3 linked regions of the Tribolium castaneum genome follow. The protein of the gene in region 2 interacts with the protein of the main gene of each other region in a biochemical or structural test. Links are inferred from orthologs where the notes say so. Each region holds a gene or a part of one and is shown on either strand. Other genes may lie near its edges.

Evidence for each region.
Region 1: of the proteins of tum (region 2) and polo, one has a biochemical effect on the other in vitro, tested with the Homo sapiens proteins (3 studies listed by BioGRID and IntAct, with this or other methods). The link is inferred for Tribolium castaneum from reciprocal best matches to the Homo sapiens genes RACGAP1 and PLK1.
Region 3: the proteins of tum (region 2) and pbl form a complex in vitro, tested with the Homo sapiens proteins (3 studies listed by BioGRID and IntAct, with this or other methods). The link is inferred for Tribolium castaneum from reciprocal best matches to the Homo sapiens genes RACGAP1 and ECT2.

Annotation. Positions count from the first base shown.
Region 1 is NC_087398.1:11,007,981-11,012,307, forward strand, and holds the start of polo (serine/threonine-protein kinase polo), read right to left. Parts: upstream 2,828-4,327; 5' UTR 2,693-2,827; coding exon 2,600-2,692; intron 2,547-2,599; coding exon 2,322-2,546; intron 1-2,321. UniProt on the Homo sapiens protein: Serine/threonine-protein kinase that performs several important functions throughout M phase of the cell cycle, including the regulation of centrosome maturation and spindle assembly, the removal of cohesins from chromosome arms, the inactivation of anaphase-promoting complex/cyclosome (APC/C) inhibitors, and the regulation of mitotic exit and cytokinesis.
Region 2 is NC_087394.1:20,769,698-20,773,796, forward strand, and holds the start of tum (rac GTPase-activating protein 1), read right to left. Parts: upstream 2,823-4,099; 5' UTR 2,663-2,822; intron 2,641-2,662; exon of another isoform or gene 2,614-2,640; 5' UTR 2,592-2,613; coding exon 2,145-2,591; intron 2,095-2,144; coding exon 1,902-2,094; intron 1,845-1,901; coding exon 1,687-1,844; intron 1-1,686.
Region 3 is NC_087398.1:7,933,458-7,937,485, reverse strand, and holds the start of pbl (protein ECT2), read right to left. Parts: upstream 2,821-4,028; 5' UTR 2,595-2,820; coding exon 2,522-2,594; intron 2,354-2,521; coding exon 2,007-2,353; exon of another isoform or gene 1,932-2,006; intron 1,772-1,931; exon of another isoform or gene 898-1,771; intron 256-897; coding exon 43-255; intron 1-42. Other genes in the region: U2 small nuclear ribonucleoprotein auxiliary factor 35 kDa subunit-related protein 2, read right to left, coding at 3,399-3,633. UniProt on the Homo sapiens protein: Guanine nucleotide exchange factor (GEF) that catalyzes the exchange of GDP for GTP. Promotes guanine nucleotide exchange on the Rho family members of small GTPases, like RHOA, RHOC, RAC1 and CDC42.

The sequences.
Region 1 (4,327 bases), on a different chromosome or scaffold from region 2:
TGCTTCGACTAACGTAGACATTTTTATGAATTCGTAGTATTATTTAGACCGTATCGCTTTACAATTGCAGACTATACTTTACAACAATCGCCTATTGCCTGGGATAAATTTAGAAACAATTTTTTTCATTAAAATTTGAATCGAAGAGCTCTTGAAGCTTGCGGGCCCTTTTAGGCTCCGGGCCCGGGTTCCACGGAACCCCTGTGGATACGCCACTGGTGTCAACCACTCGCAAACACAACATGCTTTTCGACTAAATGCTGTGGTTTATCGGCCTATTATAACAAAATTTTGCTAAAAAACGCGATAAATCGAAAAAAACTCAATGTCTATTTATTTTGTGATTTTTACGAGTCTTTTAACAAGTTCTAGCAAAGTAAATCAGTCTGAACTTAGAAAAATATAAGACAACTTCAATTTTGATCTAATTCGGAGATGTTTCATCCATTTCTCGGTAAATTTTTCGAAAAAAAAAAAAAACTCAAGAGTTGAAGAATACTAAAGTAACACCCATTTTAGTAAAATTAGGTGACTTTTCGGTCTGTTTTTTTAAACGTGCTAAAAAAAGACAAAACGAAATAATTTTAGATTTAAATTTTTAATTTTCGGTCACTTCTAGCAAAAAAAATAGAGATTTTAGCCCTAAAACATGTCTAAATACTCAAGAAAGGCAGAAATAACGTTATTTTTGATCAGAATTTATTGTTGTAAAAAATTTTTGAGTATTAATTAATAATTGAATCTCTGGTTAAAATATTCTAATTTTTACCTACCTTTAGCAAAATTTTTCTAAAAAAAATTTAGTTAATATCTCAAAACATGTTTAAATATTCGAAAAACTCAGAATTCACACAATTTTCAGTGTGACTTGGTGAAATTTCGGTTTGTTCATTACAAAATACCATTTGGAAAAGAAAAAAGAATATTTTACTCAGCTAAATTTAGAAAATTCATAAGAAACTCCAAACACTTGCTTAGAAAATATAAAAATAACACACTTTGCGACCAAACTTTTATCTTTTAAGCTTACTATTGATGAAATTTCGCCCAAAAACGTGATAAATCGAAAAAAACTGACATCAATTCCAAATAAATCAGCCTCGAACTAAAAAATATAAAATAAAAATTTCGATATATTCGGTGAATTTTCATCCACTTTTAGGTATATTTTTTGAAAAAAACTTAATTTTTAACTCAATGAAAGTCGAAGAACACTAAAATAACACCCATTTTAGTATATGTTTTGGGTGACTTTTCGACTTGTTTTTAAGAGATTTCGCGAAAAATTTGCGTTGCTGGTGAAAAAAAAAAAAACGAAATAATTTTGGATTCAAACTGGTAATTTTTCGGTCTCAAAAAACAGGTTTTAGCTCTAAAACATGCTTAAATGCTCAAAAACAGGCAGAAATAACATTACTTTTGATTAAGATTTATTGTTGTAAAAAGTTCTTGTGCAATAAATGAATCTCTGGTTGAAATAATCACATTTTCGCGTAAATTTTTCTAAAAAAAAAACTTAGTTTTTATCTCGTGTACACAATTTTCAGGGATAATTCCTTTATTGGCTGTAAATGGAAAAGGAAAAAAAATGTTTCAGTAAATTTAGTGATTTTTACAAGAAACTAAGAATGTAAGTTCAAACACGTGTTTACTGGCTTGGAAAAAAACGAGCAAAATCGAATAAAATAAGCTAAATTAAATAAATTTCGCTTTAATTTCATGATTTTTCAGCTAGGAAGCTCAAAAGATAAGAGTAACACAATTTTATCAATAACTGTGTTTGCTTTCTGAAATATTTTCCAAAAAACTTTGGCAAGCACTTTGTTTACTTGTAAATTTATCAAAGGTTTTAAGGAATACCAACTAGGGCCTAAGGTACCAAAGTCATCTACGAGCCCCCATCATAGCCCCCATTCATAATTTACCCTTCTTATTTATGTACAATAAAAATGGTATTTTAATATAATTTTTTTGCTACAATCTTTTCCATTACGACTTGAGTCAAAAGAGGTTTTGAAATTAATAAACCTGGAAACTGTAGTTAGAACTACCTCCCTAACTTAGAAACCCAAGTATAAGCGCCACAAGTGATACCAACATGAATAATTAATTATACAAACTACAGTGTCTTAAAGAGGTGGACTGTTGTTTAATTTACCAATTAATTTAGCTCTTTGTTTGTGCAACCATTGGCCATGACAGACATCAGTTTAAATATTAGTTTTGGTGATAAAACTATCAATATTATAGTTTCCCATAATACAGAGTGAGCAGCGATAACAACCAGGAAACAGACGCAGTTTAAAGGGCCAAAAACTCACCCGCTTTCTGCACAGCTCCAAAACTATATAAATATTGTCCGTATCCTCGAAAAAACTATAAAAACCGACAATATTTTTGTGTTTCAACGACTTGTGTATCTGTATCTCCTGAGTCATTTTCTCCTTCTGGTTTTCCTTGACTATCAGCTTTTTCGAGACGACTTTCCCGGCGAACGTTTGGCTGTTGGCCACATTCGTAATTTCGTAGCATTTTGCAAATCCGCCCTAAGAAAAAACGGCCACTATCACATGAACCCATCGACAAAAACAACACTAACCTTGCCGAAGAACTGCCCCTTTTTGTACCTAATTTTCGTGTTCTCGTCGTATATATAGTCGGGAACTACGACATAATCGTCCACTTTCGACATTTTCACTAATTACTCCTAGTTTTATTCACAGTTATTGCGTTTGGTTGGGTTTTTACGGCAAGCATCCACCACGGCTTGAAAAACTTTTGGCAGTTGAGAAGATTTCAAACGCCGGCAGCTGATTGGCTGATTGGACAGGAAAATGGTGGGGAAAAAAGAATTGTCAACGGAAGTGACTACTTGCAGAACGCGATCTCTAACCACCAAACAAAAATAGACCACAATAAAATACACAAAGTGGTTTATATTGACTCAACAACTTTGGTTTGGTCGATCAAAAATTGGGCCAAACGCTGATCTTGACCGTATTTTAAATTTAGTCTATCAAAACATTGATTTATGTGTTATGCAACTCACAAAATGCTTCTGCTGAGGGCGTTGCCTAGCTAACAACCTAACAATTAATATTAAAAAAAAACTAAACAGAAATTTATACAGGACTGTAGGCCGCGCATTCAGGCAGGGCGAAGGCCTACTCCTAAAATTCTTGTTCTTCCTAGACAAATTTTATACGTTTTATAAAAATTTATAAAATATAAAATTTTAACTTTGCGTTGTCTACACTTTTTCAAAAACACCATAAACATGTACGTATTTTTATTTTTGGGGAAGTCAAAACTGCAAAGCGTCATCTGTTATGCAACATCGAATGTGTATGATTTATGAGAACACTGTTTTTTCACAAAAAAATAAATCTGGCAATTATTATTACTGCACTTGGTTTTCGAGGAAAAAAAAAGGCACACGGGAAATTTATTTTGACTTATTTTTATTAGAGTTTAATAATAAACGAGAAAATGTTTGACGAATACAAAGTGTTCTGTCTAAACTAAGTTTCGGAGTATTGAAAAAAGTACTGAAAGTTTTGATAATAACATTTATCTGAAAATTAGCCTAGAGCCATAGCTCATTGATTGAAAATATTTTCAAAATGGCGGCACTTCCGATTGTATCGAAAATCGCTATGAACTTTTTTATTAGCTTTTTCCTATTCCTAAATTTAGCTATTTTCTAAATAATCAGAATTTTTTGGAAATTTTTGGATTTGCACCTTTCACTTCAATAATCGTAAATTCTGCTATTTTTAGAATTTTAGAAACAGTATTTGGCCAATCAAAAACAAAGCCTAAATCTTTCCTTCAGTGTGTTCAAAAAAGTTTACAAAATCCAAAATCTTAACGTTATTTTTGGACAGCTTCTACATGCTATAAGTTTTTATTTCACTAAATAGAAGAAAATTTAATTCTGCAACGATCTGTGTTGGCATTTCTTATGCTTATTTGTGATAATTTTCAAGTTATGTTAATTTTTTTGACATTGCTAGCCACAGATATTTTTGCGCAGTTTGACAAAGAAACATTTCATTGAATAAACGATAAATTCTGTTCAAAATTTTGTTTTCCTTTCCGTTAAAACAAAATGAATTCATTGAATTTGGATTTGAAAAACTTTGATTCCATAATTTCATTTACCTACATCCCTACATACAATATCAACAAAAAATCCGCATGAAAACTGTTAAACAAAAGTATAGGAAAAAATGATGGCATTTCATTTGAAAATTTTTAGTTATGGGTGTTTGAAGTTCTGCAAACTTAAAAATCTTCTTAAATACTGGAGGTATTCTTTTGGGAA
Region 2 (4,099 bases):
ATTTAGCCTAATCTCAAAAGCGTGTTTAAAACCTCGGATAAGACAAAATATGGATCTTATGTCGAAAATTCTCGCGAAAATCTGAATCAGTTATCTCATAAGGGGCAAAAATAATACAATTTTCGACACAATTTTTTTTCAAATAATTAAAGTTTGTAGTTAAAACACGCGCCCAAACGGATGAAACAGATAAAAATTATACAATTCTGCTAGTACTTTTTTTTTGGCTTATTTTTGACAAGATTTCGGGAAAAGTAATTTACCTATCAAGTCCGAAAAGTGAGATTTTACTGGACGAGTAAGTTAATACAAAGACGAGTCGAAGACGAGTTCTGGTAGCTTACGAGTAGCAGCAGAAGATCACTTTTCGGACGTGATGCGTACAATATTTTTTTTGCAACCGTGATGATCCCCAAAGAACGTATAACGTCATTAAGAATGTTAAAAACGTGACTGCAGTTGCAATACCTCATTCTTCATATAGCATTTCTGCACATAATTGTACATTAAATTAATATTTATTATAAACAAATCTCTCAACTTCCAACTTCATTAGCTCGTTTTTACTGGGCTAGTGCGGGAAAAATGATCAAGCAGACTATCCTGTAAAAGGGTACTTTCCGTCAAGAACATAACAAAAATAAAATGTTCATTACGGTATGGTTGAAAAAAAATATTTCTGCCGGAAAAACGTTTGAACTAAAGCTCTCGAAAAAATGAAAAATAACCATTTACGTTCTATTTTGATTTTCCGACTTATCAATTATTATTGAAGAAATGCGTTTCTGAAAAAAGATCTTGCAAAAAATCTAAATACATAATTCGAAAAAGTGTATAAACGCTTGAAATATGGAAAAATTTCACCATTTTCGATGTAGTTCGACAATTTTTCAGTTAAATTTTGACGCAAATCTTTAAAATAATAATTGTAGTGTTTCTGAATGAAAAACGACCTAAAATGTTTAAAAAAGGCAAATCACTCTCATTTTTAACCCAAATTCGTAAACATTCAACTCTCGCTACGACAGAACTAACACAGTCTGATTTTATTTGGTAATTTTTTATACCAAGTAACCATTAAAGACTGCGATTTTTGTCGTCAGGCTGGTAACAAATTTGTCACATGAAATGACATAACAAAACAACCAGGAATGCCAATAATAATTGTTTTTTGACATAATCTTTAATATCAGTCACCCGATATTATATATGACACAATTCACGGTGATATTTTAACCTGATTTAAAGGTTTTTGGGTCGGTTTTGTGAAAAAATTTGAAATTTCAGCTTAAACAGTCTGAAACGTTGTTCCACGAAATTTGGTAAAAAAATTATGTACTTATTCTGACTGGAAAATGTATTAAAATTCAAAAATCGTGTCACTGTCAATCAAATTTGGTGATTTTTTTATTAAATTTCTATTTTTAAAAAGTGCTTAAACTTTTATTTAAAATTAGTCCTGAATATTGAGCATTTTGGACTTTTTGCTGTTTTCGCTCTCAGGTAGAGAATTGTCAGTAACACTCAAAAAAGACAAAAAACTGAATCAATAAGGCTCTAATTTTGAGAATGACAAGAAATAAAATTTCGTTCAATGTAAACAACCTGAAAAAAACTATATCGACCCTTTAATCCCTTTATCCAAAAAATGTAATAAAATGTGTAAATATGGATAAACTTTATTACCTCAACAACTTTATTTCCAGAAGAACGTCTTTTTTTAATTGCAGGTTCGGCAGAGGCACCTGTGCTTGGCCTGTGTTTTTTCCAAGCAACTCCAGAGAGACGAGAATGATCTAAATCATCTTCTGACTGTGAATAGCTAAAGTCTGACAACATGGATCCTAAAACATAACGATTGTATTAATTTTACGTTCAGTTTTTATGTTTTTTAGAATTACCAGTTGAATTAACTTCTCTGATAGCGCTAAGTTGGGGATGATGACCATTTCCATTTGCACTGGTCAAATCCCACTCGCTTTGCCAGTTATTATTATGCAAAAATGAAAATTTTTGCCTCATTTCATCCGAAAACCTGATAGTAGTATTTTTATCCTTGAAGAGAAGGTCTTTGACAAGGTTTATCTGTGAAGCCTAAAAACAATTTTTAATAAAATGTCCACAAAACGAGACAAAACACTAACTAATTCATCCCTCTCCTTCCTGGCTGTCCTAACCATTAGCTTTTCCTTATCAATCATTTTCCGAGCTGTGTGTAACTTATTCTCCAAATCACTACATTCCACTACTTTATTATCGAGAACATTTTTCAGCCTGTTAATTTCATCCAGTGCTTGAAAATAATCAACATACAATAACTTCACTTCTTCAACAAACTCCATAAACGCTGGGAGAGTCTCTAACTCATTGTTTCTAAAGGGGCGATAACTCCGCATCAAATCATCAAATTGCGCCGCCAGGGAAATGTCTCCGTTTGAAGACTGGCCTGATCCAGAACCCATATTATCAGAATTACACGAGGCAACGCTTTCATCACTGTCGGAGGCTCCTTTTTCCACAAACATGTCTCGGTTCAAGTCAGCTCGGGGGGTTCGATACGGTAGGGGTGTTTTAAAAGGAGTGTCACACATTTTTTCTTAGTTGCACTGCACACTTAACTCAAACTCAACTTGTTACACATCTAAAGCACAGATCAACTAACCTCTCTAATCTGTGTCTAAAGCACAAAAACACTCGATGTTCCTCAAGAAACTCACTAAAATTCTAACAAATATGAGAGTTAAAGCTTCGTGTTCTTTGAAGTTACAGTTGAAGAAATGCAATTTTGAAAATGACCAATCGGAGCTCACCGATCAGCTGTCATACTTTAACCGACCGCAGCGTAATGATCCATACCTAGCGCTAGCCATACTTCAAATCAAAAATATGAAGTCTAAAGATTTATTGAAGCTTGCTTATACTATCCGTTAAATTGTTTTTAAAGTCTTTGTAACTTGTGTGTTCAAAACATTAAACGTTTAGTGTCAAGGGCGGCTAACGATCATCGGCACGTGGCGCTGCCGTGGCAAGAATACGAATCATTAGTTCGAATTCGTTATCCGCCAAACAAATGTATTCAAATAAAATTGCAGCAAATAAACATGAAAATTTTTATTAAAATTATTAATTAAAATCCATTAACTGACATTATTTTTCTTGTTAAAATAAAAAAATTTAAATACACAGGTGTCGGTTTCGATCTCCATCATGGGGATCTCTCAGTTATTGAGATAGGAAGTTGGTTAAGTTAGGGTAAAATTGCGTATTTTTGTGTTGGATAATTACCTGAAAAATAATTTGATGTGTCATTTTTAGTTTTTAGATTATTAAGAAAAATTAAAAATTTGTAGGTACCTAGTTTTCAAACAAATCTAAATCTGGCATCGCCTTTTCCAAGATGTTCTTGATGTCAGAGTTACAACACTAAACTTTGTTTTTTCTTATGAACGCCATATTTAACACTTATATTTTTGAAAAGTGTTTATGTTTCTGATTACAATGATGTATTACATTTTACATGGTATGATCGAATCTTACATGCTGATTAAAATTAGAAAAAAGATGTTTCTGCAAAGAATGCGTTAGAAAAACAACGTTTTTACAATCGTTGGATGACTTTATCCTGGGAATAAATTTAAAAAAATACATTGTTGAAACAATTGTAACCATAGTATCTATAGTATAATACCTTATCTGGGATTTATCTGACGATTGTAAAATCCATCCTTAACAAACTAGGTTTTGACAGTTCTATTAAAATATGTGAGCCGAATTTTTATAACTGCTCGTTGTTTCATTTTGCGAAAAATAAACTTCTAAAGCTTATTAAGTTGTTTAGTTTCTAAGTAAGTAAGTTTGACGAAAATGTGATTCAGATTCAAATTCAACTGAACTTCCAAAATCAGTTTGTTTACAAATAAAATTGTTGGACTTTTTCCAAAGCACTCATCGTAAAAATGCTTTTTTCTTCATTTTAATCAGCATGTAATGTAAGATTAAATTGTATGTTAATAATTGAGATCCCCTTAGGGAAGCTCGAAAAACGGACACCTTGTATGAAGGCATTTTTCTATCACACAGCATTGAGTTGGTGCGCCGG
Region 3 (4,028 bases), on a different chromosome or scaffold from region 2:
TTTTTTTAATAATTTGGCAACATTTTCATTGCTAGATGTTACCACAAATGCATCAACCGTTGCACTAAAATTAATATCATGTCTTTTCTTCCAACTAGCATAGACCCAATCTTGATTCATCACAGGTACTCGAAATACGGCCGCATAACGATATTTTTCTCCATTACAAATGTTGGCAATTAAATGCGTCACTTTCTGGCTTATGTTTTTCCTGATGGAACCACCCATATGATGGATCAGTGGTACCAAAGTTGCCTGCAATAATGCATCATAAAAATACCCGATATTTAATTTTTTAGCGATGTTTAAAAAATTGGTTTATGTGTTTTGTGACCTGTAAATACACTTCACTGAGAGTATGATCTTTTTTCCCGTATAAATGTTCAATAAAAATAATAAATATGAGATATTTCGGTGTTCAAAGGTAGGATTATTCACTGATTAATCATACGTAAAAGTGTATTAATCATTCAAAGATGTCCCAGCTTTTTATATTCCTGTTGTTATTGAATTAAAGAACTTTCAGTCTATAATATGAATATATTAATGTAGAAAAACGTATAAGCATTTTAAATGCAAATTCAGTTTCGATATTCAAATGACAATGACTTCAAAATAATATTAACATTAAAGTTAGTTACGGTAATAAATAATTACTTAACACAGTTTATGCATTATCGAACAATCTTAATTAAAAAACTACATAATTCTGAAAGTAAATCGAAAAAAATATTTTTTCCGTTACATACTAAACTAAATAAAAATAAAGCGAAATTAAAGTCATCTGACAATGTAAATAATAATATTTATCACTTCACCTGTTTGATAAAACGCTGACTAATTAAATTAGCATTTGCTTATTTAGTGTATTTATTTCTGGACCTGAGAGCGAAAACAGTCCAAAATACTCAAAATTCAGAACTAATTTAAAACAAAAATTCTCATTTAGTAATCAATGTCACAATTTTGCAAAGAAATATTCGATTTTATTCGCTTTATAAGTAATAAGAGGCACTGAAAAAACTTAATACTTTAACGCCCTAAACTTATAAGGTTGTCTTTCAGTATGTCAAAAGCCAAAATAGTCCAAGGTGTAAATTAATGTCTAATGCATTGAAACTGTAACGAAATTTTTTTAAACAATTTAAATAATATTTATAAAGTAAAAAGGTTAATTGTCTTCCGGAAAATCTTCAGCATTTTGAACAGTAGGATGATTTCTGTAATTGTTCTAATATTCCTTTGGTATCGATTTAAGCTGTATCATCAAGTTATCGTAATTTCCGTTACTGATGAATTTGTGATCATTTCTAAGCTGGAGAAGGCAATATCAAAGACTTTTTGGTTTTCTTCTTACTTTCACACAAGAGGAAATTTTACAATTTCTGGTAAGATTAGCTCAGTCGTTACAGGTGAAAAAATTAAAATTATTTTCCTACATGCTTAGTGTTTCATTTTGTAAATAATGCCGTTTGTTATAGAAAGTGTGTCCAATGTTCACTTTTAATTATTATTTATTTTTTGGAAAAAATGGACTAGGCTGTTGATGCTCACAAACAAAAATAAAGCGAAATTAAACTCATCTGACAATGTTAACAAAAATATTTATCACTTCACCTGTTGATAAAATGCTGACTAATTAAATTAGCATTTGCTTTTTTGGTGTGTTTATTTGTGAAATGATCTTAGGTTTTTCTTTCGATTTACGTTCCATTGCAACTCTCAAAACCCACATTCGAAACGGTAACAACAAAATAATCGGCTGTTAAACGTGAGTACGTTGGTGATTATTCTATTTATAGCACCCAAATGCAAATTAATGTGTAGTACCCAAACATCACATGAATGAATAAAACAATGAGTGAATAACGAGCCAGATAATAAACATTTCCAAATGTCTTAAATACATTCAAATTGCTTTTAAATTCTAGGCGAATTTATTACATCATTAACGGCCAAACAAGCCCATTAATTACAATTGCTTGCACAATGGGAGTAATACTGACCAGATCACTTTTGTTCCTGAATCCAGTAAAGCAGACAACGACCCCCGTCATAGCCAGGTTGAAGAGGGGCCTCGTGTTGTCTGGAAGTGGCTCATTCTTGTTGGCTAGCTGCTGCAGAGCCAAGGGCCCCATAAGGGACTGCTTCTGTTTATATAAACAATTAAATACGTCTCCTTCGAAACTCTCTAATATAAAAACGGTACTAAAACTATCATCTTGAGCACAATCTTCTCCGTCTTTTGAAGTAACAACCGGCACCCGAAAGGACTCTGCGACGGTCCGAAGGGCTGTATCGGTGGTCAGACCCCCAACCAGACATATCCTTCGGTTGCTCTTTAAGGGTGCAACTAGATTAAAACAGAACATTAGTAACATCTGACCAAATAAATTCGTTTAGCAGCTCAGATAAATTGTTTTAACCTTGCTTTGATCAACATAACCTAACAAACTCCGGCCCGAAAATTGATTACAAGTGAGCGGGCAAGGGGGCGATTGGGTCAAAAGGGGGCCCTCACCGTCATTTCCCGCGGGTTCCTCCCAATTTGAGTCACTACAAATGGAACTTTGGGGCTGAATGCGTGCGTCCATTTTGAAGCGACTTTTTGGTTACACCATCAGTACTAAAGCACTAAATTCGCACGTTTTCGCGTCTGTCCCACAACCGTCTCTTATCACAACGTTAAAATCTCACACTTATCACACCACAAACTACCTTAAACACATTTTTGAGCGGTTTTACTTTGTTTGGAACTAAAAATGGACCATCCATTCCATACCAAAACTTCAAAGTCAAATGAAGCGCTCTGATTGGCCGATTCGATTCGTCAGGTACAGAATTACTAGCAGTTTCCGTCCCATCTAAGACAGTCTGCGCGTCAATCGAACATCCCCCGTACGTGAAACAGTGAGAGAAGGAAAACGGGCGTTTAGAAAAATTGAGACTAAACCGCGGTCATTCAAATTTACGTACAACCGTTCTTGGAAGTGACTCATCCTCTTCCACTTCTGCGCGGCAAAAAACCGTCGAATGAATTTTGCCGGATTGTCGCAAAATAGACACAAGTCTATTTTTGTAAATAGTTTTCCTATTAATAGAGCCGCAGGATTTGCCTCACGTAGGTCAGGTTTTGCGAAAACCGATTTTTGGAGGGCCCATTGATCGTTTTTGGCACCGCTTCCTCTCATTAATCGCATCCGAGAAAAAATACTTGCGGGAATAATCAGTATTTATTCACCCAGGTTTCCCACTATTATATTTTTGTTGACCAATTTTCAAGTTTGCCAATATTGCATACAGCTGGTCCAAAAGTGATGAATAACTGTATTCATTGCAAATAATAAAAACCAATAAAAAGTAGATGTTAAACGTTTATTCTAAACAACTTGTTACAGTCAATGGTGTTTGGACTTTTTTCTGTTACTCTTATTTTCTCGTCTATTTCTACTTCTGCTCCTTTTTCTACTTTTAGAACTTCTACTATGTGAAGTTTCCTGAGATCGTCTTTTAGAACTACAGCCATTTCTCGTGTGTTTTTCTTCACGTCTTTTTTCACTAGTTGTGTACTCTAATCTTTCCGGCGATTCGGACCACCTCCAATTTCTTTCTTCTGTCTCTGATCTGCTAATACTGTAAATGAAGTACTTTTTAATAAATCTCTGAAACTGTTTAGGATAATCAAGGTTGAACTATCCTGAGAGTGTCTGAAGAGGACCTGTTCAAACCACGTTCAAACAAGCGCCTGATCGCAAAATTTGAATTGAATTTTTAAGAAACGTAATATATGTACAAAATAATTTTTTACAACTGAATATTTTTAGAATAATTACTACCGTAGATTAATTATATTCAGAAGAATTCAGATTACTGCGGAACCCTGCAGGATATTTTTTTAAATATTTTTCGAAGGCAATTTAAGGCTACACATATAATCGATAGATCTGACAATAAATTACTATTTATTGTCCTGAAGAAGCCCCAAGAAGGTGGCGAAACGTAGACAATATATCACGTACCAAAAAATA